3 linked regions of the Coturnix japonica genome follow. The protein of the gene in region 2 binds, or shares a complex with, the protein of the main gene of each other region. Links are inferred from orthologs where the notes say so. Each region holds a gene or a part of one and is shown on either strand. Other genes may lie near its edges.

What was found.
Region 1: MEAF6 (region 2) and BRPF1 share a complex: the UniProt entries of both Homo sapiens proteins name them as parts of the MOZ/MORF complex. The link is inferred for Coturnix japonica from reciprocal best matches to the Homo sapiens genes MEAF6 and BRPF1.
Region 3: MEAF6 (region 2) and JADE2 share a complex: the UniProt entries of both Homo sapiens proteins name them as parts of the HBO1 complex. The link is inferred for Coturnix japonica from reciprocal best matches to the Homo sapiens genes MEAF6 and JADE2.

Annotation. Positions count from the first base shown.
Region 1 is NC_029527.1:8,980,533-8,991,008, forward strand, and holds the start of BRPF1 (peregrin), read left to right. Parts: upstream 1-4,776; 5' UTR 4,777-4,983; exon of another isoform or gene 4,984-5,136; 5' UTR 5,137-5,245; coding exon 5,246-5,862; intron 5,863-6,954; coding exon 6,955-7,914; intron 7,915-9,560; coding exon 9,561-9,717; intron 9,718-10,476. Other genes in the region: CPNE9 (copine-9), read left to right, coding at 130-170, 243-289, 496-599, 788-827, 947-949, 1,339-1,415, 1,618-1,681, 1,754-1,857 and 8 more. UniProt on the Homo sapiens protein: Scaffold subunit of various histone acetyltransferase (HAT) complexes, such as the MOZ/MORF and HBO1 complexes, which have a histone H3 acetyltransferase activity.
Region 2 is NC_029538.1:3,340,404-3,350,903, forward strand, and holds MEAF6 (chromatin modification-related protein MEAF6), read left to right. Parts: upstream 1-3,606; 5' UTR 3,607-3,656; coding exon 3,657-3,752; intron 3,753-3,876; coding exon 3,877-3,992; intron 3,993-4,452; coding exon 4,453-4,540; intron 4,541-4,647; coding exon 4,648-4,693; intron 4,694-5,115; coding exon 5,116-5,305; intron 5,306-5,548; coding exon of another isoform or gene 5,549-5,573; exon of another isoform or gene 5,574-6,291; intron 6,292-7,858; coding exon 7,859-7,888; intron 7,889-7,991; exon of another isoform or gene 7,992-8,049; intron 8,050-8,668; coding exon 8,669-8,702; intron 8,703-9,098; coding exon 9,099-9,107; coding exon of another isoform or gene 9,108-9,165; 3' UTR 9,166-9,593; downstream 9,594-10,500. Other genes in the region: SNIP1 (smad nuclear-interacting protein 1), read left to right, coding at 626-1,209, 1,871-2,135.
Region 3 is NC_029528.1:2,341,074-2,351,803, forward strand, and holds the start of JADE2 (E3 ubiquitin-protein ligase Jade-2), read left to right. Parts: upstream 1-5,030; 5' UTR 5,031-5,127; coding exon 5,128-5,199; intron 5,200-6,853; exon of another isoform or gene 6,854-8,954; intron 8,955-10,330; coding exon 10,331-10,388; intron 10,389-10,730. UniProt on the Homo sapiens protein: Scaffold subunit of some HBO1 complexes, which have a histone H4 acetyltransferase activity. Acts as an E3 ubiquitin-protein ligase mediating the ubiquitination and subsequent proteasomal degradation of target protein histone demethylase KDM1A.

The DNA.
Region 1 (10,476 bases), on a different chromosome or scaffold from region 2:
CCCGCCTGCCCCACGGCTACGAGCAGCTCTCCTGCGTGGTGCCGTCCCCGAGAGCCCACGGGGGACACGCAGGGGGGACACGAGAGTTCGGGTGCACACAATCACTCGCTCCCTGCTCGGTCCCCCCAGGAACCTGCTGGACATGGACACCTTCTCCAAGTCCGACCCAGGTGGGTGGCAGCGGTGGCATCTCTGTGTGTGGGCACGGTGCAGCCTGGCACGGCTCTGCCCTCTCTCCGCAGTGGTCATCCTCTTCGTGCAGAGCACGGGGAGCAGCGAGTGGAAGGAGGTGAGCGCTGCACCTCTCCCGGGTCCCCGCCGTCCCCAGTGCCCCCACTCCTGGCTAATCCCCGGCTCGGTTAAATGGGTCCATATGGCCACCCGCTTCCACCCTAATGATCCCTCCCTGCCGCTAATCGGGGATTAGTGCCGGGGCAGCCGCGCTGGGGAGGGATGTGGGGAGATGGGGTGGCCCTCACGGAAGCATCCCCGCAGTTTGGGCGCACCGAAGTGATCGACAACACCCTGAACCCCGACTTCGTCCGCAAGTTTGTCCTCGATTACTACTTCGAGGAGAAGCAAAACCTCCGCTTTGACGTGTGAGTGCCCTGGCACCAACGGGGAGTGAGGGGTGCTGAGCCCGTGGGTAACTCGTGGGAGACCACAGCAGTACAAAGCATTGCTGCGTGGATGGGCAGAGGGGTCAGAAATGGGGTCCCAAAGCACTGGGTGGAGACAAGGGGACGTGCCCAGATTCCAGCTCACAGCTCTGCTCTGCTACCTCCAGCTACAACGTGGACTCCAAGAGCTGCTCCATCTACAAGCAGGTGAGTGCTCTGGACACCCCAAAGCCCTGCCCTGTGTGGGGGCTCCTGGGTAGGACTGGCACCCCCAGCCTCGGGCTCAACCTGCTCTTTGTCTCTCCACGCCACGTTGGGTCTGGCAGAAGGTAGGTGTCTGCTATGATGGGGAACTGGTGCTTGCTGTGGGTGCACAGTGGCCCAGGGGGGCAGGAGGGCTCCAGGACACGTGAGGTGGCTCTGGAGGAATGTGTCTGGGACATATTTTGGGGGATACAAGGCTGTGGGCTGGGGTCAGGACATGGAGTGGGTACATGGGATGGTTGTAGGGCTGCATGATGAGCTCAGGGATGTGGGGTGGCCTTGGGTGTACAGGAGGGGTTGTGGGCTATGGAGCTGTGCTCTTATAGGGCACAGGGTGAGCTCAGGTCACCTGGGGTTCTATGGGGAAAGAAGGCTACAGGCTGGAGATGATGAGAGGGTGAGGGGGCTGCAAACAGGAGCCCCCAGGGTTTGAGCATGGCATTCCTGGGTGCAGGACTTCCTGGGGCAGGCGTTTGTGGCACTGGGAGAAGTGATCGGGTCCCAGCGGGGCCGTCTGGAGAGAGCCCTCACGTGAGTCACATCCTGTGGCAGGGCTGGGGGTCCCACACTGTGCCCCTGGCCGCCCACCCTGCTTCAAGATACCCCGCTGGCCATGCTGCCCCACGTCCCTGTGCATGGCTGGGGACGCACCTGCAGCACTGGGCCTTGTGGAGCGCCCTGCATCCTGCCCCTGTGCTGTCCCCACTGTCCCCACGCTGGGCTGTTGTCGCAGGGGGGTCCCAGGGAAGCGGTGTGGGACCATCCTGCTGCTGGCCGAGGAGCTGAGCAACTGCAGGGTGAGTGCTGCATTTGCACGCTATGGGATGTGGGGCAAGGAGCTGGCTGCTGGTGACAGTCCCCATCCGCAGGACATCGTCACCATGCAGTTCTGTGCCAACAAACTGGACAAGAAGGACTTCTTTGGCAAATCCGACCCTTTCCTGGTCTTCTACCGCAGCAACGAAGACGGCACGTGAGCGTGGGGACGTGGGGTGCGGGTGTCCCTGCACGGCATGGCCTCACCATGCCTCGTCCCCGCAGCTTCACCATCTGCCACAAGACGGAGGTGGTGAAGAACACGCTGAACCCGGTGTGGCAGCCCTTCACCATACCCGTGCGTGCCCTCTGCAACGGTGACTATGACCGGTGAGGATGGTTCTGTGGGGCAGCCTCCACCCACCCCACACTCTGGCCCCATCCTGCAGCCCCTGGGCCAGCCCACAGCCCTGCACACATCTCGTATCCCCCAAATTGTGTCCTGGTGATGTTTCTCCAGAGCTGCCCCATACGTTGCAGACCTGTTCTGCACCCCAGGAACACCGCTGTGGTGTTTGCAATGGGGCAGCAGTAGGACAGGACGCAGCATCTCCCCACAGCCAGCACACAACTCCAAACAGGGTTCTTAGTGGTGTTCTCTTTTTTCTTTTTCCTTTTACAATCCAAATTACATAAAAGCTTCCCCCCTCCCCAGAGCTCCACCATGACCCAAATTCCCTGCTCCCCTCCCTGGGCATGCAGTGTTACTCTGATGGCACACTGAGCCCTGCACACTGTGGGCCATGCCAGAGGCTCCCCCTCAGCCCCGCTTTACTTCCAGCACAGTGAAGATTGATGTGTACGACTGGGACAGGGATGGGAGGTGAGGCCGTGCCCCAAAGGGCAGCACAGTGACATCGGGGTGTTCCTCATCCCATAACACACGCAGCCCCTGCGCTCCTCCTGCAGCCACGACTTCATCGGGGAGTTTGCCACCAGCTACCGTGAGCTGTCCCGTGCACAGAGCCAGTTCACGGTGTATGAGGTAGGGCAGGGGCCACAGTGGGGCAGCTTTGGGGGCGTGGGGAGCCCCACAGAGGGACCTGCCTGGTGCCCGCAGGTGCTGAACCCTAGGAAGAAGTGCAAGAAGAAGAAATATGTCAACTCTGGCACTGTGAGTGGGGCTGGGCTGCTCCTGCAGCTCTCACCCATGGCAAGGTGCTGGCTCTGACACCCCGTGCCCACAGGTGACTCTGCTCTCCTTCTCCGTTGAGTCCGAGTTCACCTTCGTTGACTACATACGGGGCGGGTGAGTGGGGCCGGGTGCCCCCAGGCTGCCAAGGGATGGGGGCAGGAAGGCAGTGATGGTGGTGCTGCATCCTGGGGGTGCTGAGACAGCGGCTGCAGTTGTGGGGTGGGCAGCGGGGCTGGGCTGTGGGGTCGCGCTGTGCCTGGGGCTGGCAGCCTCCTTCACTCTCCCTCCAAGGACACAGCTGAATTTCACCGTCGCCATCGACTTCACGGCCTCCAACGGTGAGCACAGCAGAGGGGGGGTCCCGGGGAGCAGCACCATGTGGGTGCTGATGTGCGCTGTGCCACAGGGCTGCCATCGCAGCCCACCTCGCTGCACTACGCCAGCCCCTACCAGCTGAGCGCATACGCCCTGGCACTCAAGGCCGTCGGGGAGATCATCCAGGACTACGACAGCGACAAGCTCTTCCCTGCCTACGGCTTCGGAGCCAAGCTGCCACCTGATGGCAAGATCTCCCACCAGTTCCCCTTGGTGCGCCCTGCTGCGAGGCTGGGGGAACCTATTGCTGCTGGGTGTGGGGCTGGGGAGCAGCCGGCCTGGCCGCATCCTACCCAGCACCATGGGAGCATCAGTCCTGTCCCCAGAACAACAACGTGGACAACCCCAGCTGTGCCGGCATCGAGGGAGTGCTGGAGTCCTACCTGCAGAGCCTGCGCACCGTGCAGCTCTATGGGCCCACCAACTTCGCCCCTGTCATCAACCAGGTGGCCGGGTGAGCGCTGCGGGGCCGCCCCCATCCCGTGGCCGTGCTGTGGGGGACGATGTGGGGCGGCTGCTGGAGGGCTGCCATGCCGTATCCCTGCAGCACGGCCGCCCAGGTGACCGATGGCTCTCAGTACCACGTCCTGCTCATCATCACTGACGGCGTCATCTCCGACATGATGCAGACCAAGGAGGCCATCGTCACCGTGAGTGGCCGCACGCCACCAGGGTCAGGGCACCACGTATGGCCTCAGTGCCGCCGGGCTGCCCCACACCTATGGCTGCTGCCCTCTGCCAACAGGCCTCTGCGCTGCCCATGTCCATCATCATCGTGGGAGTGGGGCCGGCTGAGTTCGATGGTGAGCGGGGTGGGCTGGGGATGGGGCCGGGCCGGGGGGTGCTGTCATACCGGGTCTGAGCGGTGCCTGCAGCCATGGAGGAGCTGGATGGGGATGAGGTGCGGGTGTCATCGCGGGGACGGTATGCGGAGAGGGACATCGTGCAGGTGAGCTGCAGCACCAGGCCTTGTGGGGCCGGGCCCCCATTGCTGCCCATTGCCCCCATTGCCCCCATTACCCCCATTGCCCCCATTGCCCCCATTGCCCCCATTGCCCCCATTGCCCCCATTACCCCCATTGTCCCATTGTCCCATTGACCCCATTGACCCCATTGATCCCATTGCCCCCATTGACCCCATTGACCCCATTGACCCCATTGACCCCATTGACCCCATTGACCCCATTACCCCCATAGCCCCCATTACCCCCATTACCCCATTACCCCCATTACCCCCATTACCCCATTACCCCCATTACCCCCACTGTCCCACTGCCCGCAGTTCGTTCCGTTCCGTGACTACATGGACCGGGGGGGCAGCCAGGTGCTGAGCATGGCCCGCCTGGCCAAGGACGTGCTGGCCGAGATCCCCGACCAGCTGCTGTCCTACATGCGGGGCCGCGGCATCGAGCCCCGCCGGAACGCCGCGCACTGACGGCTCCGTCCGGTTCCGTTCGGTTCCGCTCGGTTCCGTTCGGTTCCGTTCGGTTCCGTTCGGCTCCGTTCGGTTCCGTTCGGTTCCGTTCGGCTCCGTTCGGTTCCGCTCGGTTCCGCTCGGCTCCGTCCGGTTCCGTCCGGTTCCGTTCGGTTCCGTTCCGTTCCGTTCGGTTCCGTCCGGTTCCGTTCGGTTCCGTTTGTTTCCGTCCGTTCCGTTGGTGCCGCTGTCACCGGCCGCAATAAAGCGCTCCGGCCGCTGAGGGGCGGGTACTGGTTATTGAGATTCGCATCGGCAGATTCGCCGCTCTCCGCGCGGTACCTCGTCCCCTATCCCCGGTGGGTCTCTCCCCGCTGTCCCCGCTCCGTTCTCCTCTCCCCGCTCTCCTCGCTCGGTTCCTCCCCTCTCCTCCCTCCCGCAACCCGTCCCGCCCGCTGGGCCGGCGCGGTGTCGAAAGTGCTGTTGCTAAGGCCGCCCGGCGCTTTACCCAGGGGCGCCCCGCGCTCCTCCATTGTTGAGGCCGGGCCATGGCGCGGGGCCGCTGAGCGGCGGGAGGCGGCAGCGGGGCCGGGCCCAGCGCACACGGTCACACCGAGCACGATGGGGGTCGACTTCGACGTGAAGACGTTCTGCCACAACCTGCGGGCCACCAAACCGCCCTACGAGTGCCCGGTGGGCAGCTGCCGTAAGATCTACAAGAGCTACAGCGGCATCGAGTACCACCTGTACCACTATGACCACGACAACCCGCCGCCGCCGCAGCAGCCGCCGCTCCGTAAGCACAAGAAGAAGGGCCGGCAGGGCCGGGCCAACGACCGGCCGTCACCGGAACCGTCCGAGGCGTCGCAGTCCCCGGGCCGCGAGGTGATGACTTACGCGCAGGCCCAGCGCATGGTGGAGGTGGATCTGCACGGCCGCGTGCACCGCATCAGCATCTTCGACAACCTGGACGTGGTGTCCGAGGACGAGGAAACCGCCGACGAGGCGTTGGACGGCGGCGGCAATAAGGAGAACGGGGACAGCCAGGCGGCAGCCGCGTCCGCCGCCGCGCCCAAGTCGGCCAAGCAGAAGAGCAAGGAGAAGCGGAAGGATTCCAACCATCACCACCACCATCACAACGCGGCGGCTGGAGCGGCCCCCAAGCTGCCCGAGGTGGTGTATCGAGAGCTGGAGCAGGACACGCCCGACGCGCCGCCCAGACCCACCTCGTACTACAGGTACCGGGGGGTCCCGGTGCCGCCCCGCGGGATGGGGGGCTCGGGGGGGCTTTGCTGCGGTCTGAGCGTGGTGTATAAGGGCTGAAGGGGAGCTTGTAGCAAACAGGGGGAGCGGCTTGTGGTCTCCTAGTGTTAGGGTGAGGGGGAATGGGCTTAAAGCATTTAGGTTGTGTGTTAGGGGGAAATTCCCTACTCAGAGGGAGGCGAAGTGCTGGCATAGCTGTGCAGAGCTGGGGGTGCCCCATCCATGGAGGTGCCATGGGCACCGCAGCAGGGATTGAGCCGGGTGGGCTTTAAGGGCCCTCCTGACCCAGCCACTCCATGAAAGAAGGTGAGTGTCCTTCTGCCTCCCCCACTGCTGTCTGGAGATGCTCTAGGATAAGTCAGGAGCCCCCCAGCACCAAAGTTCAGCTGTGAGCCATGTGCATTTGTAGGTGTAATGTGTTCTCGTGGCCCTATGGGTTTTCCATATGTGGTTTGTTTCGGTGCCAATATTGGCCATTGTAGCAGTGCTCTCACTGCTGTCTCTGCCCTCCTAGCCACCGTGCTGCCTGAGAGTCTGGCACCAAGCTGCAGGCACAGAGGAATAACGTGGGCTTGTGTCACACTGCTGGAAAAGAGAGTTCCCCATGAGCTGTCTGCATAGTGCTCAGTGTGGTGCTGCACTCTGGCTGCTGGTTGTTGCAGATGGAGCAGGACGGATGGAGCAGGGTGCAGGGGCTTCTGGCTTTTCCCCACGATTCACCTTGCCTCACCTCCAGGTGGCAACAGGAGAAATATACCAAAACAGGGCACTGTCTGCACCCCATGTGCAGCAGGGCCAGTGCTATTGTGTCTGGGGAACAAGGTCACTGTCTCCAGAGTACTGGGTGTCCGCTTGCTGGCTTGTACAAGCTCCTGTCTTGTGTTGATGAGTCTACAACATCTGCAGCTTGTTATTTTGTCTGAACATCCAGCCGTGCTGTGCCAAATGCCCCCCAAGCAGTGCAGCACCTTCAGCTTCTGAGCGCTGCTGCCTCTTTTCTGTTTGTTGTGGGTTTTTTTGGGCTCTAATATGCAGAACTCTCACCTTCTCTTGCTTTCCCCTTCCAGGTACATTGAGAAGTCAGCGGAGGAGCTGGATGAGGAGGTGGAGTACGACATGGACGAGGAAGATTACATCTGGCTGGATATCATGAACGAGCGGCGGAAGACAGAGGGCGTCAGTCCCATTCCCCAGGAGATCTTTGAGTACCTGATGGACAGGCTGGAGAAGGAGTCATACTTCGAGAGCCACAACAAGGGGGACCCCAACGCCTTGGTTGATGAGGATGCCGTGTGCTGCATCTGCAATGACGGGGAGTGCCAGAACAGCAACGTTATCCTCTTCTGTGATATGTGCAACCTGGCTGTGCACCAGGAATGCTACGGGGTGCCCTACATCCCCGAGGGACAGTGGCTGTGCAGGAGGTGCCTGCAGTCACCCTCACGAGCCGTGGACTGTGCCCTGTGCCCCAACAAGGGCGGTGCGTTCAAGCAGACGGACGATGGGCGCTGGGCACACGTGGTCTGTGCCCTCTGGATCCCGGAGGTGTGCTTTGCCAACACGGTCTTCCTGGAACCCATAGACAGCATCGAGCACATCCCACCTGCACGGTGGAAGCTGACCTGCTATATTTGCAAGCAGCGTGGCTCTGGGGCTTGCATCCAGTGTCACAAGGCAAACTGTTATACTGCTTTCCACGTCACCTGTGCCCAGCGGGCTGGTCTCTTCATGAAAATGGAGCCCGTCCGTGAGACGGGAGCAAACGGGACCTCCTTCAGCGTGCGCAAAACTGCCTACTGTGACATCCACACACCTCCAGGCTCCGTGCGCAGGCTGCCTGCGCTTTCCCACAGCGAGGGGGAAGAGGAAGATGAGGAAGAGGAGGAGGAAGGCAAGAGCTGGAGCTCTGAGAAGGTGAAAAAGGCAAAGGCCAAGTCGAGAATCAAAATGAAGAAGGCGCGGAAGATCCTGGCAGAAAAACGAGCTGCAGCACCTGTGGTTTCTGTTCCCTGCATCCCCCCCCACAGGTACAACTCGCTGCCTTCCCCTTGCTGTGGAGAAACCTGTCCCTTTCTCAGCGTCTCATGTCCCACTTTGCATGCAGGAGCTGTCTTTTTGCACAAGTGCTTTTCACGTTGCTCTTCCCGGGGCTGTTTGTGGTTTCCTCTGGCTTTCCTGCAGAGAGGAGTGAGATGTGCAGCCCCACGAGGTGCTTGCACAGGAAATAGATGCTGCTGGCTTCATGACAGCAACCGAGCTTGGCCAGGGGTGGCAGGAAGCAGCTGGGGGCTCCCAGAGCTCTTCTCCTGTGTGTTGGAACAGGCTGCAGGAAGAAAGCAGAGGCCACCTTCCTTTTGCTGCAGCTGGCCCCACACAGCCCTGCTGCTTCCCAGCCTTGCAGCATGCCTGTGGTGCACAGCTGGAGCTGGGCAGGGCAGTGTTTGCCTTGGTGGCTATGAGTCACCAACCAGGTTCTCCTCACTGCAGCTGGGACACCACACCAGAGCTGCACTTGCTGGCCCTCAGGTCTCTGAGTTGCAGCCACCATGGCATGGGGTCACTGCCTCCTGGCAAGGCTCCTTCAGGGCTCTTGTTGGGCAGGAGGGGGTATGCAGGCACTGTGGGGTTTGCTCTGTGGGCAGTTTGTGCTGCAGGATTGGTGGCTTCGTGCCATGGTGTTTGTGTGTTAACTGTATGGTACGGCTCACTCGCTCGGGGTGTGTTCTATAACCCGAGCCTCTCTGTTCCCACATGTGGATGCACTAGCAAGCTGTTTGTAGGCTCTTTCTGCTACCCTCGGGCTCACAGTGAAACCCACACTGAGGTAGAAGCTGTTAACCTCACCCCAGGTCTTCCTGTTGGGATTAATTATTCTTCAAGGGCTGTTGCCAGGATGCCAAATGTCTTCCTGTAGAAGCTGTGAGCAACCAATGACAGCAGATGAGGACGCTGTCTGCCTTCAGCTAATGCAGGTCGGGTCACCCTGTGTGAAGAGCTGGTCCTGCAGGATGTGGAGATATGGGATCCACACTTCAGTCTCACCTAGCAGGGCATCTCTTAACTGCACTGATGGAAGAGGCTGTCTCAGTCGCTTCAGGCTCTGCCATTGTAAAGAGGAGGGAAACCCCTTTTGTTTTGTTTGGGGCTGTTCAGGGTAGTTCTTCCTTAGTTCCAACAGCAAGCTCTGTTCTGCTAGCATCTGCCCACCCCTCCTCACGCTTTCCCAGATTTGTTCATGCTACAAACTCCTCGGGGCTGCTGAGCTGTCTGGTAATGTTTGAATAGGGCCTTTGTCGTCTTGGGTGGCCCCTTGCTGCCAGCATAATAAGCCGGGTGAATCACAGCTTTGGGACAGCCGTGCCGTGGTCTCGGGGCCGCAGGGAGCTGTGAAAGGCCCAGCTGCCAGTGCCCCCGCCTTGCACCCCAACCTGGAACAGTCAGCAGGAAAGGAGAGAAAGGAAAAGGCCTTTAGGAGAGACAAGGCTGAATGTTTTTTAGTGTAGCTGTCTGTCATGTGCTGCTGCCCCTCGTTCCTTGGCCCTTCAGGGATTTCTACTACGCAAAGGTGTGTGCTCAGTCTGAGGAGCTTGTGGGTTGCCTCGCTACACTGGGGCTTCTGCTGTGGCCAGATTTGCTTTGCTGACTGGGTTTGTGACCCTTCTCCTTTCTTCAGGCTCAGCAAGATTACCAATCGTTTAACTATCCAGAGGAAGAGTCAGTTCATGCAGAGGCTCCACAACTACTGGCTGCTGAAGCGGCAGTCCCGCAACGGTGTCCCTCTGCTGCGCCGCCTTCAGACACACCTGCAGTCCCAGAGGAACTGTGATCAGGTACACGCTGCATTTTGGGGTGCTGAGGGGCAACCTGGGTGTCTGTGTGTGCTTCCTGTGCCTTTGCAGCTGTGGGCTCAAAGCGTTTGCTGCATGTGTTGGTGCCTTCGGGCTCAGAAAGGGGCTGGAGAAAAGAGTTCTACCTCCCGATACCGCCCCAGCTGCCTGCTTTTGCTGCTTTACCTTCTCCACTCTCAGCATTCAGAGATTTGCCAGACGGAGCCGCCTTTGGCAGCCTGCCATGGGAAGGGAAGCCTGCCCTGTTGTGTGCAGGAGTTAGCTCATTCCTCTTGCCGGCGTTCAGCTGGCAGCTGTGGCAACGCTGGCAGAAGTGGGCTCTAACCTGAGGCCACTTGTGTCAGTGGGCATTGAGAGGGGTGGCCAGGGATCCCCAGACATGGTCTGGAAGAAACCAAGGCCTCACTGATCCTGAAATAGCTGTGGGAACAATCCCTGTGGGTGGTGCTCTTGGCCTGCTGTTTGCCTCAGCCTTCAGTCACTGCTTCACAGATGTGAGATCTCTGGTGCCAGAGGAAGATCTTTCCTATGGCTCTCTGTTTAAGCCTTTCCAAGCCCTTTGAAGATGGTGATCAGTTAGAGGTTTCTTCTGCTTTTACCCCTCCCTCATTTTTATTTGCTCATCTTTGGCTTACAGCAGCAGAATAAAAGTCAGCAAGTTTTTTGATGCTCCAGAGGTGAAGGTAACCAGAGCTGTGTTCCTATTTTGCCCTGTTTGCCATTGACTAGAGCTCTGGGCAG
Region 2 (10,500 bases):
GGGGCATCCACAACCTCCCTGTGCAGCCTGTTTCAGGGCCTAACCACTCTCCTAGTGAAGAACTTCCCCCTAACATCCAACCCAAATCTTCCCTCTTTTAACTTAAAACCATTTCCCCGTGTCCTGCTATTGTCAGCCCTTTCCAAGAGTTTACTCCCCTCCTGGGAGTAAGTTCCCTTCAGGTATTGAAAGGCTGCAATGAGGTCACCCCGCAACCTTCTCTTCTCTAGGCTGAACAAACCCAACTCCCTCAGCCTGTCCTCATAGGGGAGGTGCTCCAGCCCCCTGATCCCTCTAGAATAACTCTTAAGGAAGAGAGAGTCTTACAGTGTAACATCTCCTTGCTCTCTGCTTCGTGTTTTCCTGGAAAGAACTGAGTGTTTGTACCTTTTAGTGAGCCCAGCCCCTGTTATTCCTGTAAGAAAATGAGTATTTGTGCCTTTAAGTGAGCCCAGCCTGCAGGCTGACCCTGAAGGCTGATGTTATGATGCATTGCTCTCTGTCAGCCTTGCATTGTTGGGCCCAAGTTGTGGGAATTCACTTTGGAAGGAAATAAATAAATCTAGATATACACGTACCATGTTACAGTCTGTGTTTTTCATGTGTTTTCTGTCTTCTTCCTCAGGAACGAGACGATCATCCTCACAGAGGAAATGAAGAGAGAAAGCAGAGACACACGTCAGAGCAAGAACACAGACGAGATAGAAGCGGTGACAGAGACAGGCACAGAGATCACTCAGACAGGAGGAAAAAGGAGGAAAGACCTGGAGGTCGAGGCCATGAGAGAGAAAGAGATGTTCAGAACATCCGTGAGCAACAAGCAGAGAGGGAGTTCTATAACGAAAGAAGACGAGAGCATCGACAGAACAACGAGGGGAGCGGTGCTGAGCAGAATCCAGAACACAAACAATCTGATAACAAACCAAAAGATAAAGCTGTAAACAAAGAAAAACCAAGCTTTGAACTGTCTGGTGCCCTTCTGGAGGATACCAACACTTTCCGAGGCGTTGTGATTAAATACAGTGAGCCCCCAGAAGCTCGGATTCCAAAGAAACGATGGCGTCTCTATCCATTTAAAAACGATGAGTTCCTGCCTGTCATGTACATTCATAGGCAGAGTGCTTATCTCCTGGGCAGGCACCGCAGGATAGCAGATATCCCCATTGATCATCCCTCCTGCTCAAAGCAACACGCTGTGTTCCAATACCGGTCAGTATCGCTCTGTATCCCTCTGGTAGGTGGGGATTATTTGGTCGCTTGCGTGCAAAGGGAATCAAAGAACGTATTGGATGTGCACAGATTAGAAAATGCATGTTTGCTCAATGGTTTTAGATAGGTGGAATTTAGGTATGGATGTAACATATATGTAATTCCTTTTTGTTTAACCATAAGCAGCCTCGTGACTCTTAACATATATATAATTCCTTTTGGTTTAACCATATCTAGACTTTTAGTAAGAAACACAACACAACAGGATGAAATACAGAACTGCCTGTATATCTGAATTGGAGTTATTAGCAGGTGGGATTGGCAATAAAGAACGTTTAAAGGAGGGTTTTTCATTTGTTCCTTCCCAACAAAGGCTGCCGATCTCCTTTATAAACAGCAGGGTTGTGTGCTTCAGGAGGCAGAGCTGCTCTCTTAAGGAACAACCATCTGTTCTGCTTCAGGATTTACTATGTTATATGATCATAACTTTAAGGGGTGAAGCAGTCTGTCAGAATCTTGAGTATTTCCGTGCCCTGTCTAATTATTCTCATTGTACTTGCTCAGATCTTTGAAGTATGGTTAAGTATTTACAACAGTGGGGCTGATGTGTTGAAAAATCCATGTGTTATCATTGACTTGATGGGTTGTTTTTGTTTTCTAGGCTTGTGGAGCACACACGCGCTGATGGCACAGTTGGCCGCAGGGTAAAGCCGTATATCATTGATCTTGGTTCTGGCAATGGTACTTTTCTAAACAACCAGAGGATTGAGCCTCAACGTTACTACGAACTGAAAGAAAAGGATGTATTGAAGTTTGGCTTCAGCAGCAGGGAGTACGTCCTTCTCCATGAATCATCTGATAAATCAGAGGCCAACGCAAAGGACGATGATGAGGAAGAGGAGAAGGAGGAAGAGTCCGATAGTTAACAGACATGAAGGCAATTGGGGATGGGGGAGCAGGGGAGAGGAATCTTTTACAATAAAACATGCATTGGGATGGAGATGTTGGAGCATCAAAGCACTGGTGCTTCTTATTGCCTTAAAGTCCTTCTGTTGCTGACTGGTTCTTATGGTTTATTGTGGGGGACTCCACTGAATATTTGGCTTTGGTAGGTCTGTATAGTGGGAAATCTGACTTATTTCACCCCCCTGACAAGCAAAAGAGCAGCTGGATGTGAATGATCTGATGCTGGAAACATGTTCAAAGATGGTTTTCTGCTGGATAAAGAAACGATGTAGAACACAGCAAAGTGTATTTAAGAATATTTTTATCCACTGTTTTTTGTCATAAGCCTTTGAAAACGCTACTGAACTGAGGTGTTAGTTTCAAATGTAACCCCATGCATTGTTTGTAATGTCTTGTTTTGTAGAGTTTGCCAAATTCTAGAGTTCTAGAAGGGAGAATGACCAGGTTTGCTACTAAAAGAGGGATATTGCAAAGGTTTTATGTGTCCTGGGTGGTTGCTCTGCACTGTGAGCAATGGGCATTTGACCACAATGAGCTGCCTGTCGATTCCAAGGTAAGTGAGAAGAAAAGGAAACACAACCTGAGGCTTTTAGGTTGCAACGATGTGGTTTGGGAGGGCTGAGGTCCACATCAATGCACGCTATACATTGCAGCACCCAAACTATGGCTGACTGTCATGTATCTCCTAAACCTCAGCCCTTTGTTTCTATCAGCTCCATGAGTAACTTAATGTTTTTTGTTTGTAATTGTACTCGTTACGTGGTGGCATGTTTTTATTACCCGGTTTGCACTATTTAAGTTTTTCTTTATATATATATATATATATATAAAAAGAACTGAAGCTCTCGTTGCTTTCTAACATTCTCCCCCACAGGAAAAGCTTTAGGAAGAGGAAATTAAAAACCCCAATGACTGGAAACAAACACATCTCACCTCTTTGTGGCTGTCTGTTCCCTATGGTTTCCATGTTGATGCTTAACACACTGTTGCCTGTTTGTTCTATGGCCACACACACAACCTGTATACACACACTGGAGCATTGATGGTGTAAATACGGGGTGTTGATATAGGTTTTCATATAGAAAGCAGGATAGATCTTGGCTTGAAGGATCACCTTTATATATATACACAATCTCAAGGTTTTTAAATAAAGAATTTGTAATTCTATTTAATTGTAATGTTTCTTTCCTATATCCCTATTTCCCCCCCATGCACTGCACAGGGAAGCACTGAGCCCTGCTTTTGAGCTGCTGAGTGAGCAGAAGGGTTCAACCTTATATTCGAGGTTTGCCTTGTTGTTTATTGCACAGACCCAAATCCTGGATGCTTTTAGGGCTCCCCATCACCCCCCTCCCATGTCCCTATTAAGCCCGACCCTATAGCGGCTGCGGGGCGGAGCAGGGGGGCGGAGCGCTGTTCAGTGCTGCCCCCTAGCGGCCATTCCCCGCAGCCCCGCCCGCTCCCCGCAGGCCGCAGCCGCCATGGCCGCCCTGCACGCTAAGTCCGGCGGACCCCCGCAAATCCCGGACACCCGAAGGGAGCTGGCCGAGCTGGTGAAACGCAAACAGGAGCTGGCGGTGAGCAGGGAGCGATGGGGACGGGGGGGATAAAGTGGGAAGGCGGTGAGGCTTGTGGTTGTGGTTGTGGCCTTAAGGTAAGGCCAGGCCCGCTTCTATGCATCGCGCTGTGTGTGCCCGGTAGGAGACGCTGGCCAACCTGGAAAGGCAGATTTATGCTTTCGAAGGGAGTTACCTGGAGGACACGCAGATGTACGGCAACATCATCCGCGGCTGGGACCGTTATCTCACCAACCAGAAGTGAGTGTGGACCCCAAACCCGCCCTCCCATCCATCCCAACCCCCCACCCCCCCTTTCCATGACCCCCAAACCCCCCTCCCATACATTCCAACCCCCCCCTTCCCATGGACCCCCAAATCCCCCTCTCCATCCATCCAACCCTCCCCGGCTTCCATACCCCCAAACCCCCTTCCCATTCTCCCAACCCCTCCCCTTCCCATGGACCCTCCAAAACCCCCTCCCCATCATCCCAACCCCTCCCCTTCCATGACCCCCAGAACCCCCCCTTCCATGACCCCAAACCCCGCCTTCCCATCCATCCCAGCCCCCCCCTTTCCATGGACCCTCAGCCCCGCCTCTCTCCCATCCATCCCAACCCGCCCCCCTTCCTTCCATGGGACCCCCAAACCCCCCTCCCCATCCATCCAACCCCCCCCCCCCCTTCCATGGGCCGCCTCCATCCTCTTTTCTCCTTTGCAGGAACTCCAACAGCAAAAACGACCGCAGGAACCGCAAGTTTAAAGAGGCCGAGAGGCTCTTCAGCAAATCCTCAGTCACTTCTGCTGCGGTAAGAGCTGCCCCCAGCCCCCAACCCCATGGGACCAAGCTGCTGTGGGTATCTGTTAAGCCATGAGTGCATCCCTGTTGTCATTAACACCCATTTCATCCTTCCAGGCTGTCAGTGCGTTAGCTGGAGTCCAGGATCAGCTCATTGAGAAGCGTAAGTCACCTCTTCACTTGGCAGAATTAGGAAGAATTGAGCTTCTCCCCACAGCTCGGCCCCATCTCTGCTTTGTTGGGCTCTCTGCTGTCCACTTTGGATGGAGAAACCAGGATTGAAGTGATGCCTTTAGATGTCTTGTGTCTCTCCATCAGCTGCACGTGGCTATGGGAGGAGATAAGAGCTTCACTACTGGAGGCTGCAGCCTGTTGTGGGCATCCAGCTTTAAGACCTTTCCTTCTGCTGTCACCATGGCTTTGGGTCTGACAGCAGGGCTGCATTTCCAGTCCTTGGCACCAGAAATTTGGGTGTCTGTAGTTCTTGTAGCCCTTTTTTCCCCCCCATACTTTGCAGGAGCAGCCCTGGGATGTGAACAGTGAGGTGATAATCATTGGGCTCTTCTGCTTCTCGTCCCATTCCAGGTGAGCCGGGCAGTGGGACTGAAAGCGACACATCTCCAGACTTCCATAATCAGGAGAACGAACCCAGCCAGGAGGATGCTGAGGAGTTGGATGGATCAGTGCAAGGGGTGAAACCCCAAAAAGCAGCTTCTTCCACTTCTGGAAGCCATCACAGCAGCCACAAAAAAAGGAAGAATAAAAACAGGCACAGGTTAGTGGCACCGACAGCCTTCTAGTAGTGCAATGGGAACGGTTGGCTCTTGCTGATGATGTGAAGGGAGCTAGTAACTCGTCAGGTCGTTTGGTTCTATCACTTGCTTTGAAGCTGCCTGTGCTCCTGCTGCTCTCCTTGTGTCAGGGAGGGAGGCAGCTCAGCAGGCATATTCAGCACAGGGTACTCACAGCTCAGGTGTTTCTGACCAGGCTTTGTGGGTTCTTTTCTCTTTTCAAGCAGAATAAAGCTGTCTTCCCTGCAGTAGAGGAAGATGACAGCCCCGGCTTCCTGTGGTTGTTCTTTGGTTTCTACTGAGCTAAGGGAGATAGGAATGTCAGTGCTTTCTTTGGAGGAGGAGGATGGAAAACAGCTTAGAGTGTTCTGGGGGCTGCCGACACTCACTATCTTTACTACATTTTCTACTCCAAAGCTTTCCTGTTATCGTGTCCCAGAGTCCTTTGATTATAGCACGTACAAGTTGCTCTATCACACAGACCACAAGCTCTTGTTATTAAACTGGCCTGAAATTCACATGAAACAGATTTCCTGAGCTCTTTGTGATTGAATTTAGGTGACCACTTCAACCCTTTAAGGCGCACCTTCAAGGCAAGATGCAGCACAGTGGGCTGACAGCTCACATTGGGATTCATTGAATTCCAGTGCTGCTTTCCCTGGATGTCAGGTTCTTATTGAGCTCATTGGCTTTGGGTATGGATGGATATTCCTCTTTGAGGAGCCTTCCTATACAAATGGTTTATAATACAGTGATAGATCCCACAGGGACTGCTGGGAAAAGGTCTGTCTGGGAGACACCAAGGTAGGTGTAGTGCCTGAAAGCCAATTAATTACGACTTATTAGTTAGATTTTCAGCCATTAGCATTTTTAATTGGAAGGTCAGGGTTTTCTCCCCACAGCAGCCTTATTCAGGCACACATCCCAAAGTATTGGATGTCCTTTTGGGTTCCTCCTGAGCAAGGAACCAGCAACAGTTCAGAAGTGGTTTTTAGCCCTCAGGCAGTTGGGAGGAAGGCCAGGAGTAACAGAGCACGTCTCTAAACCACTTCAGAGAAACAATCTGTACGACTGAAGTACAGCATAAGAATGCTGCTGTTTCAAACAGAATCCAAAGCACTGCTGGGCACTTACATGGACCACAAAGCAATCTGCTGCAGGTACAGTGGGGTCTGCTGCAAATGCCATAAATAATATAAACTCTTTTGCTCCGTTACATCACCCAAACTGTAGTGACGGGTGTTAGGAAGAAACTGCCCTACTGAAAGCTTGTGTTGCTTTGGGGTTTCTTCTGCATTCCTTCCTGTGAAGCAGCTACTATTGGAGACACAATATTGGACATGAGGAGCCCTGGTCTGATCTGGTATGACAATTCTTATCATCCTAAGAGATGCATCTAAAGAACCCAAAGGATTTTGCAGTAATGCTTAGCATGGCCAGGTAGTGGAAAGTGATTAAATGTGTTTGTAATGCAAACTGTTAGAAGTTGTGATCGCTGCTAACGACTGCCCCCTAAATTACAGCAGAAGAGCCTGAGTGATCTTCAAGTATATCCAGGTTTAAACCAAACAAAAGCCAGTCCCAGCTTTGTTAATGGCACAGCTCATTCAGAAGCTCTTTCATTTCCAGCCTATGTTTGAATTCTGCTCACCTGAAGGACTGGGAGCTGCTGGGAATGGATGCTCTGAAGGTGCATTGACTTCCACCAGTGGCAGCGAGGAGAGGTGGATTCAAATTGAGCAGAGCTGGTGTGAACAGCTGGGTTAATTTCTGACTATTCAAACAGGGGATCACATGGCAGTGCTTTATTGAAGCCATCCTCTCTTCCCTCAGACCATAGAAGGCCCAGATGGTGATTTTCTATGCGTTCAGCAATTATTCTCAGGGCTAAAAAGTGTTTTAGGGGAAAACAGTCCTTCCTCATAGGGATCCGGTGCTGAGAAGCACCAAATAGAGCAGTGAGGGTTGGGGTAAAGTGCCACCAGTGTGAGAGCTGAGATGTGGGGTGGGAATGCAATGAGCCACAATTGGACTCAGCCATGGCACCATTCCGAGCTCCCAAAGGGATGTGGGTGGAAGGCTGTGTGTTGTGTGAGTATTGGGAACATTGAGTGCGTACGTGGCCACGTGGCTTCATGGTTGTGTCCACCTCTGCCTGAACAAGCTTTGCTTTGCTTAATAATCCAGACAAAGCCACTGCTTTCTGACCACCCGTTGAGGTTTTGCGAGCAAATCCGTTTCCTGATCTCCCTCTGAGCTCAGCACACAGCATTCCCTGCATAACACCGCTCCTAACACCTCCCCATCCTTGAGATCCACCTGGGAATGGGACAATATCCACCCTGCAGTGCTTTTTCTTATGCCCCATTCTGGTTAAAGACACTTTGCAGAACTTCATGGCGTTTGAACACCGGCTTTTATTTCTTCATTGACTTTGTTTTTAGCGTTCTCGCTTAGGGTGGCTAATGGACTAATTGATTTAATTCCTTAGTGTATTAATTTCTATTGCTTTCTTCCTTTCAAATGCTGCCCCTCAGCCCGTCTGGCATGTTTGATTATGACTTTGAGTAAGTTTGACTTGAATTAGTACTTGTGCTGTGTTGTTAGTGTGTAGACACCGATGTGCCTTTTGAGACCTTTCTAACCCATAGTTTATCTGTTTAATTGTAGGTATGTATATTAGGTTAGGCTGGGAAGGTTATTTTAAAAACAGCAAAGCGTGATGGAGGTAACCTTTTATTTAATAACTTCGGCAAAAACCAAATTGAATTAACTTCACACTCCTTTACCTCTCTGCTCCGGGTTTGAAATAGATGAGCTCTTTAATACGTAGCTTAAAAACTGATTCTTCTGGCTTTGCTTCTGAAGGAGATCAATGTAGATTTGGTTATTTCCTTCTGGATGTAACATAACCAACTCCCTACCTCTGTCTCCTGTAATCCCCACCACCTTAAACTCCTCTCTCTGTTCCAATAACCCTTAATGCTATGTCTGAATAATGACCTGTGGCATAGTCACACATCTAACCAGTTAATGTAGAGCATGCGTACGTAACCGTGTTTCTTTATGCTACGTAACTTCCCCGTGATCTTTATTAACTCTTATTCTGAATGGGACTGAATCTGCATTGTGGCAAAGAATAAAGAATCCACTCTCCCTCTCTTTGCTGCTCTCTTGTCCAGTAATATTGGGACAGCGATTTGGCTCAGCCCAATTGAGAATGTGGATTGAATTAACCAAAGTAGCCTTTGTTGTAGCCTGTGCCATATGCAGTAGCTGGTTCTTTTGAGACCTACTGTTTGTGTAACGTATTGAAATGGACGTTTCTCTTATCTTTCCAACCACAGGATTGATCTCAAGTTAAACAAAAAGCCGAGAGCTGTAAGTATCAGTGCTCTGTCACCGTTTTTGTTGCTCATCCTGGAAAAAAAAAGCCTCCTCTGCCATGATATGAGGTTGTTTTTGTGCTTGGGGAATGCGTAGGGATGAAGCTTAAGCATCGTCTTCCAGATGTAATAGTAAATGAGCCCAGGTGGGCTCGTTACGGAGCAGGGTTGCATTGAAGCCGCGTGTGCTTTTTATGAGCAAAAAAGCTGTTTTGCATCTTTGTTCTGTTGTGAATTGCACCGATAACAGCACCTGGTTTGGGCTGAAAACAAACCTCTTTTGCCTTCACCTGATGGTGTGTAGAATGAGAGAAGGCGAGGAATCCCAGCTCTGCCAGCAGAGGTGGAGGTAGGAAGGTCTTAATGTGCCCATCTTCTCCTGTCTCTACAGGACTACTAGAAACATCAGTGCTGAAGATTCCGGGATCCAAGCCTACATGAATCCCCACCAAGAATAACTGCAGTCATCCCAACGAGCTCAATGGCAGCTCTGTGGCCACGTGTGTGCAGAAGGGAGCAGTCCACTCTAAAAGAACTGTGGGGGGAGAAAGACTTGGGACGTGTCTTTGCATCATATTTAGATAACCTGTGTTACAGGAGATGAAGGTGTAGTTGTAGTAGTCCTCCATTCCTGGCTGTTCTGCTCTTCCAGCTCAGTCAGGAGCTCCCTTCAATCAGCTGATTTTATTGCTATAAAAGCATGGGGAGGCATTTCCCTTCCTGCAGGAGTAGGGCTGTGATTCACCATGTCCCATCCATGCTGTAATGCTTAGGTTCCTTTTGTTACTGAGACGTAGCTTTGTGGTTTTGTTTGTTCCTTTGTTTTGTTTTTAACCCAGAGTGCATCGTTAATAAATGGGCTTTTGGTTTGTTTTAATGCTTGTAAGAGAAGAAGGTTCTTCATTTTGTGGATCAGCTCAGTTTGATTCTTAGGTAGGCAGAGAACAAGGTGGTCACCCACTTTCTCTGCCATTACTTTTAAATGCCATCCCCTGCTGTTGGCACAGTGCTTTTAGATGCGGAGGAGGCAGGAGCTCAGAGCCCTCCTGTTCTTTGCTATCTCTGACATTGGGTAGATTCTCTTTTTAATACAAACTCCCCTCATTTGTACATAATAAAAGTTACATTTGTCTCTTCCCATATTCAGTGCTTCCAGTTTCACACAGCAGTTGTTTGCATCCCGTTACCCTTTGGAGGGATCCTTTGTGCTTGCTTTCCTGCCGTAGACATAACACAGAGTGCTAGAAGGGATTGCCAGGCATTAATCTCCAGCCACGTTCAACTAATCCTGCTTCAAGGTAGGGCTCGGATGGCAGGCAGTCCTTGTGCTGCTGCTGGCGCCGTGCCTGCAGATAAGGGATGAGCAATTTGGATTGCCAATGGGAAAGTACACGGAGGGATGAATGTTTGGTGCTTTTCTGCAGCCACCGAGTCAAGATCCCGGTGTTGAAATGAGCTGTGCCTTTCTCAAGGCGCTGTATTACCAGTCACCTGTAATGCTTTTGTTTGCTTTGACAGCTCAGAGGGGGAGAATGCCATGTAAAAGCTGTAGCACTTGCCTTACAGCACTTGCCTTACAGCCTCCCATCTACTTTGTGTTGCAGCAGAGCCTGGATTCTGCCCTGCTGCACTTCTGCTTTTTTGGGGTCCTGTGTTGCAGCTCCTTGTGGCAGTAGCAGAGACCATCTCCCCCATGCAACCCCTGCAAGTGAAGATGAATGCATAGGAGCAAAGTTCCCCCTTGTTTTCTCGTTAGGGAATGAAGGCAGCTCAGTGTTTGCTGCCTTATCCCA
Region 3 (10,730 bases), on a different chromosome or scaffold from region 2:
AAACCAAATCTCTCTATCCACTGATATGCCAAATCAAATTCCCTTCTACGAGCAGCGTTTTTCCTTAGCTTCAGAGAGGAAAAGAATTATACAGAATGACTGACAAAGCAAAAGGATTCGTTTGTGTAATGACCATAGCAGCCATCTCGCCCTTGATCTTTCTGTAGTAGTTTGTTATCAAAGATGGGAACGATTATTATTATAATTTAGAACAGAGCTTGCTCTTTTTCTTTCTACTGCATCTGCTTGTTATTCTCCAAATTAACACATCTTAATCAAAACTAGATATCCCGATTACAGCTGGGGTATCAGGGAGCCCCACCTGGGGTATGGATGCAGTGAGATATGTGCACCTCTGTGCTCCCTTCAGAACAGCCACGTGCTGCTCTGCTCCTTGGCAGGAGCTGAAGTGGCCAAGGGGTCACTTTGCATTCTCTTGGCTACTGTAAGGGGATATCTAGGGGAGTAAGTGAGCAGCCATGAGCTTCTGAACGTCTCCATGAGCTCTTTGTCACCAGAGCTGGTTCTCCAGTGTGCCAGCTGAATGCAGCAGGTGAGGAGAAGGGCTTTCCCAGCACTTTTTTACTAGCTAACATAGGGGTAAATGGATCGTTAGCAATGTCTCCAAAATAACACTGAGTTTTCACTTTATCTGGGGACCTCTCATGCTCCCTTGGACCTGGCTGGCATAGCAGATACTGCAGAAACCCAGTGTGATGGCAGCAAGGCACTCCTCTCCCATCAGCACAGGAGTTTTCAGGGTTCTCACGTCCTCTTGACAAGTTTTACCAAACACAAGTGTTCTGAGATGAACTCTTCCATGGGATGCCCCATCCCAGGGGGTGCTCAAGGCCATGGATGTGGTGCTGGGCAGCCTGAGCTTTGGGGGCACCTGGCCCAGAGCAGCACACTGGGGATCAGCAGGGTCTCTTTGTGCCCAGCCATTCCATGATTCCACAATATACTCTTTTCTTCAGAAGTTCGAGCAGCTCTATAATCACAGCTGTATGTGAGCCCGCTCACCCATGAAATCAATGTATTTCCTGCAGGTTGTGCCACACTCTGCTCCCTCCACATCCCAGCAGCAGCCCCAAGGCGATGGAAGCAGCAGCATCGCGGTGCTTCAGGGGACTCTTGTAGGTACAGCACTGAGCCCTGCGGGTTCCTTCACTTAAACATCTGATAATTCAACATAGGTGCTCACTGTCAAAAGGCTGTCTATATTTTTCTCTTAGGTATGCAAAAATAAGCACCGGTGAGTGAAGATGAAAGGAAAAGTTTGCTGGCTCCTTCCCCGGAGATCGTATTTCTTACTTGTTGCATAACTGCTTATTTTAGCATCCATCAGCTGAGCCTTTGTTGTGTAGACAATTCGGTCCCTTTAGAGGATTTGTGCAGTATATTTCTCCCCATATGCTTTTTTTTTTGTTGTTTTTATTATTAGGTTTCTCTCTGAGAACACCATGGCAGAGCTCTCTGTAACGGCCATGTGCATGGCATGCATGCTATGAAACGGAGCATCATGTAAGTAATGCTTGTGACCTTCCCGTAGCAGAACCACTCACGGGGTGTAAGCTCTGAGTATGCTGTATGTATGTGTTACAGATATAGGTTCATATACAAATTTGGGACCAATGCACATATATGGTAACCAAAATCTGGTCAGTGATCAGATACTCAGAAATAAGAAGTGTGAGGATTCTTGGTGCCGGTGCAGCTCCATGGTGCTCATTCATCACAGCAGAGAACTCTTTCACTGCAGGTTTTCTTCTGTGCCACTGGGTCATGCAGTGCGTGGGATGGACATTGAGGGGCTCAGCACTTTGGGTGCATTGCAGTTGCTCTGCATACAGTCGTAGGCCTTAGCTCAGCATGTTACAGTGCTCACAGCAACAGAAAATGCAGCTTCAGCATCTCAGTGGGAAGTTTTAGGGCAAAACCAGGTGCTCATCCTATGGACAGGGAGGTGGCTTAGTGGGTGTGGGGTCAGCAGTTGGACAAGGAAATCTTAGTGATCTTTTCCAACCTCAATGTTTCCGTGCTTCTATGATCTGCATTTGAGGCCATGCCTAGGGACACACCAGACCCATGGTTCTCAACCAGCCTGCTCTGCTTTGCAGCTCTGCATTTTGACATACTGGGACATCCTTTAGTGGTTTTGCCCCCAAACCCTGCAGAAATGGCCAGCAGGGGGGCTATGGGACCATAGGTCTGCACAAGGAAGCCAGCAGGCTGCCCTGAAAACAGAATTATTCATTTTCCCACTTCTTCTCCTATGGTGCTTTCCACTACACAGCATCAGTGCTGCAGCACTCTGCTCATCCTCCCCAGGCACCCGCTATGGAGATGGGTTGGGATGACACGTGGATGGATTAAGGTCAGTTTTGACTAATTCAGGGCACTCCTGAGCAGCAGTGTCTGCGTTCTCAGAGCGCTGAGCGTGCTCCAGCACTTCAGACATGCAAGCACAGCACCCACTGCTTCCAGCTGCACTACAGTGGGTGTCAGCAGTTCGGTTTCAAGCTACGCAACCCTCAGCACCTCCACATTTGTTTTAATGACTTTGTAAGCACTGCCCCTGTGGCAAGGGCAAGGAGAGTCCTGTTCTTTGGGACAGTCCCAGAGCTGTGCCCTGCAGCTCTCACCTCACTGCTGGGGCAGCTTTTGGCTCAGCAGATAAGATGGGACCTGGTGACTCTGGGTCTCCTTCCTGACTTATCTACAGAGCAGGTCCAGCATGTGCAGGCATTGTATGGAAGAATGTGACAGAGTAACTCAGAACTGCATTAGGATTATGAGAATAAAACAACAACAAACTCTGTACAGAATGCCTCAATTTGGGCATTCCCAGTGTTCTGGCTGCATGGCACAGTGACTTCACTTCCCGAGGGGAGCAGTGGGGTGCCGGGGGTTCTGAGAGCCTGCTGAGGTCCCACTGCTCCCTGCTGCTAGGAAAGGCTTTTCCTAACCAGTGCCTGATGGTCCCCATTCTTCTCTGGGGCCGCATCCCAGCAAGCAGGCTCCCCAGAGAAGATGACAACATCTTATTTCCAAACCAGAAATAGGCAGAGTGCTGCTCCATCTATGGGGAAATGGGAAACGTCCCTCATTCCTCCAGTCTCCCCACACCATGCCCCATGGCCACCCCCAGCACCTCCAGGCCCATCTGCTGCCTGCTGCTCCCCAGCCCCCCCAGGCCTCATTCTCCCCCTTTCGCCATTCACTGTCCTTTCCATCCTCATCCCAATCCGAGGTGCCTGGGGCTGCAGGTGCCCCCAGAGCAGCTCCTAGGAGATCCCAGCAGCCAGGATTCAGCGTGTTCACACCACGCATTGTAAACTGCTTTTTTGAGAGACCTCCAACACCACCAGTCTGGGCTCCTTTATCTAAAAGCCCATCCAAGGCTGCCTCGTGCTTCAATTCAGGGCTGTATTTCCAGAGCTACAATCCTTAAAAGATGATCATTAAATGCAGCAATCCCAGCTGTGACCGAGGCAGTGCTCTTCTCCTCCTCAGTCTTCATCCTCAGAAGAGCTACTGGGCTTAAAACGATCAGGAAATGCCCAGCACAGGCTCCCGAGAGAGAAAACCGCAGCCGGATTGATGGAAGTTTGGGCAATTCGGGCAGCGTGCTGAGGGATGCTCGCTGTGGTCCCACTGCTGTCCCAGCGGGCGGCTCGGGGTTGTACAGCTGCCCGCTAAAGGCGCCCGTGGATGGGGAGCCGAATTTTCACCTCCCGCTGGAGAGCACTGCCGGACCCCTCCCGCACCGTGCGCTCCCATCCACGGAGCGCTCCATCCCCGCTCCCCGTTTCCACCTCTAAACAACCAACAACCCCCCCGCGCTATGGGGGCAGCTCAGACCCATCGCTCCGCATCTCCGGGGGCACCGCGCAACGCAGCGCTGCTCCCCATGGGGGGGGGCCGTGCCGCAGCCCTCCCCCCCCGGCAGAGCCCCGCTCCGCACCCGCGGAACTCAGCGGCACGTCGGGAAGTGTCGCGTTGGGGGGTGGAAGGGGAGGAGGGGGGTTGAAGCGGCTCCGCTTTGCCGCCCCCGCCCGCTCCGCGCCGGGCAAGAACCGTCTTTTTGACGCAGGAGAAATGGCAAATTTTAAGTACGTCATTAATATGGCGCCAAAAGGGTGTTTTTTTTTTTTTTTTAAGTATAAGCCTTTTTTTTTTTTCCTTTTTTTTTTTTTTTTTTTTTTTTTTTTAAGGTTGCAGCAGCAGCCCCGTGTGCACCGTGTGCGTAACGGGGAGAGGGGAGCGCAGCGGGGAAAGGGGGGGGCGGTGGGGGAAGAGAAGGTAAAGAGTGAGCGGGGGGTGTGTGCGGGGCGGCCGCGAACGGGACGCGGGGCGGTGCGGGGCGGTGCGGGCAGCGCCGGGCTCCGGCCGCAGCCATGGGGCCCCCGCGGCCCGGCGGGGGCTGAACGGGGAGCGGAGACACCTGGACCCGCGCGGAGCCCCGGAGGGGGAGGAAGAAATTAAGGGGGAAAAGATTTGGGGCGGGAGGGAGGGGAGGGTGGGGGGTTGGGGGGGGGGGGGGGGGGGGGGGGGAGCGGCAGCACCATTATCCGGCCCCGCTCCGAAAGTGGCTTCTCCGCCTCCCTCCTCCCGGAGCCCGAGCGGCGGGGCGAGGAGATCCTGAGGAAGTGCGGGCTGAAAAAAAACCCAACAGAGCGCACCCGCGGGCGGGCAGGGCTCGGCGGGCCGCGCTGCGAGCGGCCATCTCGGCTGGGAGCAGCCATGGAGTTCCCGGGCGGCCGCCCCTGAGCAGGGCCGGGACGGCGGCGATGACAGCGGCGTGAGGGGGCTCTGCGCATCCCCGTCCCCATCCCGTCCCCATCCCACCCGCCCCGCCCCTCCCCGCCGCCCCCCGCTGCCAGGCGCAACTCTCCGCGGACGCTGCTCCGGCAAAGGTGAGGCTGCGCGGGGGGAGGCGGATGGGAAGGGATGGGGGGGCTGGGGGGGGGAGGTCGATTGAGGGGGGGGGGCATTTCGCAGCGCTTGGCTTATTTTGTTTTAATTATTTATTTTCCTATCTCCTCTCGTTATTTATTTATTTATTTCCTCGTCTCCCTCCTCCCGGCTGGGGGATGTGCGGCATTTCCAGGGGGCGGATTGCGCATGTTGGTCCCTTCCCCGGTTTTAAAGTGCGCGAGGCGAGAGCGGCGGGGATGTAAACACGAACTTTTCCAGGTTCGCCCCGCAGCTTTGGCTTTTTCTTTTCTCTTTTTTTTCCTCCCCCCCCCTTCCTCTCCCCTCGTATTTCCCCGAAATTAATGACTGCGGCAATAGCTGTGCGGACGGACCGCGCTCCGCGTTTCTAGGGGGCTCTGCGCGTTACCGGGGGCGGGGGGGGGAGCTCCGGTCGGGGGGGGCCGTAGGGGCTGTGCCCGGCGGGGATCGGGGGCGTGGCGGCCGCCTCCTCCCCCCCGCCCTCCCCATCTCTCCGCCGCCCCCGGGGCCGCCCGGCCCCTTCCCCACCTGCCGCCATCGGGGTTGTGAAGGGGGTGGGAATAACTCTCGTACCTGTGAACCCCGGGAGCCTGCGGAGTGAGGAAGGGGCTGAAGGCATCCCGGAGGGAAAACCCTCCCCGCCCCCCTCATCCCCCCCCTTGCACCGCAGTGAGCGGTGTTGAGTTAGGGGCGCTGGGACGGCCGGGAGAGAAGGGGTTTGCTTGGGATACATCAGCGAGCTCCGGCTTCCCCCCGGGAGTGAGAGGAGATCGTAGGAACGGGGTTTGACCTTTAAGCGTTTATTGGCTACCGAGGTTAAAATAAGCTCGAGATGGGAGCAAAAATAGCTCGCAGAAAGGTTACATCAAAGGTTACGTTTGTTTTCCTTAGGAAAATTGAGGCTGATCTCTAAAAATGAAGGCTTGGAGCACAGTGGGAAGGGGACATGCGAGATTTCTAAGCGGGGAGATGAAATTCATGTGGTTGCTGATGGGGTTTGGGCACCGAGTTCGGAAAGTCGGGCAGGTGGCCCCGTACAGAGGAGGGCGCAGGGCCGGAGCGGGGCACTGCGTGCGGGGTTTGGTGCGGGGGTTCCGGTGCGGCTCAGCCCCTTGCTGTGCTCCGGAGGTGCGGGATGGGGATGGGGATGGCCTTGGGATGGCCCGGCTGATTGCCGGTGCTGTGTCGGGGCATGCTGCAGGCAGAACGGGTAATGAGGGGATAACAAGTCAGGAAAGGAAAGTTAGAAATGTGAGTAATAAAGTTAGAAAAGAAGAAAATCCCCTACTAGATTTGGGGCAAAAAATGGCAAAGCACAGGAAGTAAACGAAGGCTTGTTTTGTTTTAAATTTAAATGAGATTAAATGGTGCCCCCGGGAACCGAGACAGCGGCGCAGCTGGAGCGAGGGGCGGCTCCACCTGGGCGCGGGGCTGTGCCGGGAGCCCTTATAACCCGCGCCCCTCCATGTCCCGCTGCCGGCTTCGGGCTGCCCGGGGCTGTGCTGCTCTCCCCGGAGGGTTCGGGACGGAGCAGCGCTGATTCCCCCCGCCCCAGCCGCGGGGCTGCGAGCCCACACGTGCTGCTGGGCTGCGGGTGCGCTGCGGGGCCATCCCCGGTCGGAAAGTACGTCGTGCCGTCGGGGATGTGGGGCCGCCCGGAGCTCCCCGGTCGGTTATGAGAAAAGGCAGCGCCGCCAGGACAGCGGAGCGGGGCTGGGAGCTTCCCACCGCCTCCCCAGCCCTACTCCTCCGTGAGCAGCTTTCTAACAACGCGCCGCTTTCCAAGACAGAGCCGGGAAATGGTTAATGCGGGGGGAGCGCTGGGGGCCGCCCCGTGGCTCCGTGCCCCCCCCCCCCACGCCGGGACACGCCGGGGCGCACCGGGATGCGCCGGTCCGAAGCCGGGCGGGTGCGCGTGCCGCTGGGGGCACTATTTTCTGTTTGTGTTCCTATTTCTGTGCCGGAGGAACAAACAGGGAAGTGGTTTTCTGCAGTCTCATTGCAGCTCACAAACACAGCGCATATCTCAGCCGCTGTTGCTCAACTGTCACCGAGCGGAGGTCGCGGTGCGGGGAGCGCGGCACATCCCCGAGCGCTGCCGCGATTCGGTGGCCGAGCCCGGCTTCTCCTGCCGTTTGTGCGGATTTCTGTGCTATATTCCCTGTAGAAGCAGTTAACCTGCGCGGATTTCTCTTGTCCCACTTCAGAACCGCTCCCCCAGTGACCCAAAGGGCCGCCGCACGCGGTGCCACCGGGAATCCCCTGAACGCACGTGTGATGCGCAGAGCGAGGAGCTCGCAGGGAGCTGGGAAACCTCTGTGGTTCCCCTGAGCGAAGGGGCTGGCACAGGGCGAGGAGCCGGCCTGAGCCCTTTCTAGGCTACACGGGACCTGGGGACCGGCAGCTCAGGGTTTGGGCAGGTGCTTCTGAGTCTGCCTCCACTTCTCCGCTCCTCTGCTTCTTCCCGTGGGCAGGGCAAAACCGCATCCCCTCGTCTCACAGTGGCGATGGGGATGCTTCGCACCGGGGCTTCCTCCGGCAGGGGGATGCTCGAGGCAGCGGCACGGGATATGGCAGCATCCCCATCCGCCGCCCACCCCCACTCTGCTGCCCATCCCGCGGCTGTTTCGCCCCGGGTCCTGGCGATTTGAATTTGTTTAGGCTGATGGCTGCCCATCGCGTTCCTCGGTTTTGCATTTATTTGCCTTTTTCAGCTGGAACAAAGGCGATGCTGAGCATGTGTTAGTTCGCAGTCAGTCCGGTTTTCGCGTTTCCAGGCACTGGCTCAGTCCAGTCGAGTTGCAGACACTTCAGGGGGATGTTCATTTGTTTATAAAAGAAACCCACATCTGTTTCTATTTGAATCTTAAGCGAGCATACATAGAAACCTTTCTCCTGGTTTCTGGCTCTGTCAAAGCCAGATTTTGGGCCAAGTTTGACCTAAGAGCGACCTTTTCAAAGTATTACAAATTTTTTTGGTATTTGTTTATGACTTTAATAATGATGCCATGTGGGGAACGGGTCAGTTAAAGGTGAAATTAGCTCCTAATGTAAACGGAGGATTAATTTTGGAGCAACGCGCTGCGTTTTGTGGAGGTTTTGAATGGCTCTGTAACACACCGGCTGAGCCGAGCCCGGAGTTGAAGGCTGGTGCGGGGCAGGAATGGGCAGAGAGAGCTCCGGGGGTGCGGGGATGTGGGCAGCAGGGATGGAGGGATGCCAGCAGGGTGCCCAGCCACCATCAGACTTTATAGCCCTGAGCTCCAGATGGGGAAATTGCCCAATTACCCTTTTTCTACGGTAAATTCCTCTGTTGAGTACCGCGTTGTTTACTGCTGTTAGGAGGGCTCTGGAAGATGAGTCCTTCAGGAAGCTGTGTCCTGGAAGTTACTTTCTGAAAGGTCTGCCCGAGCTTTGTGTTTCAGCCCGTGTTTCCCTTCCTGCAGGCGGTTGGTGATGCTTTGTGCTGTTCCCTGCCCGGGCTGGGGCTGCATTTCAGTGCTGCTGTGTTCAGAGAGGTCTATACTTTACTCTGTCAGGGGTTTCATTCAGAGCAATTGAAATGCAGTTCAGTTCAGAGGACGGTCTCTTGGTTCCTGTCACACCGGGGACAAACAAAAATAATTTGTTGAAATGGAGCCACAGTTTAACCTGTGGTGTTGAGTTACTTCTGTATGTGAGTACAAACTCGTCCCACAAATACCCCATAGCTACAAGCAGCCCCCAGCCCTGACCCCCCCTGTGCTGGGCACTGGAGATGCACCTTTCCCATGGTAGGACAGTGATGCCAGTTGTGCTGTCTTGCTACAAAGCCAAAGATAGGAGAGCTGGAAATGCCTTTGGGCCCCAGTAGCATTCCTTTGCTCCAGTTCAGGTGGTTCTTTTCCCTGTTGGTGTTGGTTTATGGGGTGTCAGTGTTGGGCGGCTCCGTGGATCAGTAAGCACAGCTCCATCTCTATGCTCCAAGAGCCAGCCAGTGGGAGCCACGCATTCAGGTAGGATTTCCATTGAAAGAAAGCAAACTGCAGGTAAATCTGCCTTCAGTATCCTCTTCCCCAAGCAGAACCTAACGGCTGCTTGGAACACAGCTGCCTTAATAACAGCTGCTTCCCTGGGAATCACTGGAGGAATGTATTAGCATTGCCATATTCTCAAGGAACGTTTTTAATGGTGTTTTGACAGGGCAGTGCCTTACAACAGCCCCCGTAGTTAAAATGTTGATGGTGCTTTGTGTTGTTGTCCCTTCTGTTGGTGTGAAATGCAGTGCACAGATTGTTGGGTACAGGTGCTGGGAGGGCACAGTGGGGAACTGTGCACAAGTGGAACCTCCTCCGGTGTGCATGGTGTGCTGCTGCTGACCCTCACAGGACAGTTGTGTCCTTTCCCTGGATCACAGAGTCTCTGTGCCTCAGAATGTGCTTACAGAAGGCACCAGGGAGGTGTCTGTGGGGTTGGTGCCACTTCTTGCAGGTGCTGTTGGCTCTCAGCAGTGTGGTCCATGCATAGTGCTCCATCCGAGCCCTGGAGGTGGGGCTGTGCTGATCACCACCTGCTGCGCCCTGAGGAACCAAGCTCTTCTCAAGTGAAAACCTTTGCTTTTGTTTTCATTTTTTCCTTTCTTTTTTGCCTTTTTTCCAAGCACCTGCTAACACAGGTGCTAACACAAGTGCTTGCCCTTCAGCTCTGCCTGCTCAGTCCCTGAGCGGAGGAAGTGCTGCTATTGGACACTCCTGCCTTGTTCTGAGCCCCCTGCAGCTCTGCCCTGCACTGGGTGCCCACTGCCCATCTCCAGGAGGTGACAGTGCTGTGGCAGCAGCCAGGGACTGCCCAGCAGTGCTGGAGGAGGTCTGGGCTGTGGGAAGCCTGCTTCAGGCTGCGGATACATCACAGCTCTTAAAAGAAGTCAGTGCAGTCCGAGTGGGAAGATGACTCAGAGGGTAAAACCCCGGGCTCATTGCACACAGGGGTCCTCTTGAACTCAGTGCTGCATGGACTTCCCCTGCAGGCATACGGAGAGTGCACAGAGTTTCCATTCCTGTAGCTGTGCACTTCCCACAACCGCAGCCCGGTAGTTCTGGGCACAGCCTCCAGCCCTGCAGCCTCATGGGGCACCACACGGCGTGGAGCTGCACATGGCCCCGGGGCTGTGTGTGCTGCAGAGCACTGCTCTGAGCAGTCACTGTGTGTTTCTGTACTGCCTGGGAGTGGGGAGAGCTGGGAGAGAAACAGCCACGTGCTGATAAATGAAAACACAGTGGGGATTTCACATGTCCATTTTTGGAGCCAGGGGTGGCACCTGGGGCGGGCAGGTGAGGGTGCAGAGGGGGGGATCTGGGAATGGGCTGTAATGTGCTGTTCATTCTTGTTGCAGATGGAAGAAAAACGACGGAAGTACTCCATCAGCAGTGATAACTCAGACACCACTGACAGTAAGACCTTTAATTTGAGACTTTGGGCTAGATAACTGAAGTGGTTCACCTCCAGCAGGGGAAGTGTTGGAATAATTACTTTGTAAAGAGCTGAGGAAGCTGCGTCTTCTGCATTTGCTGGAGATTTGCTTCACAGTGAATTGCACGTGGGGTTGGGTTTGTCAGAAATGCAGCACTGAGGTACAACAGAAGCTGTTAGCAGTGGAGATGTTGGGCTGTGGGCTCCTCGTTCTGCTGGAAGCCCCCCACTCATGCAGGGAGCTGAGCCCCATGAGCCCCCAAATGAGCTGTGCTGGGGGGCAGGGAGACTCCTGCTGGGGTCAGGGTGAAGCCCCAGCCCTT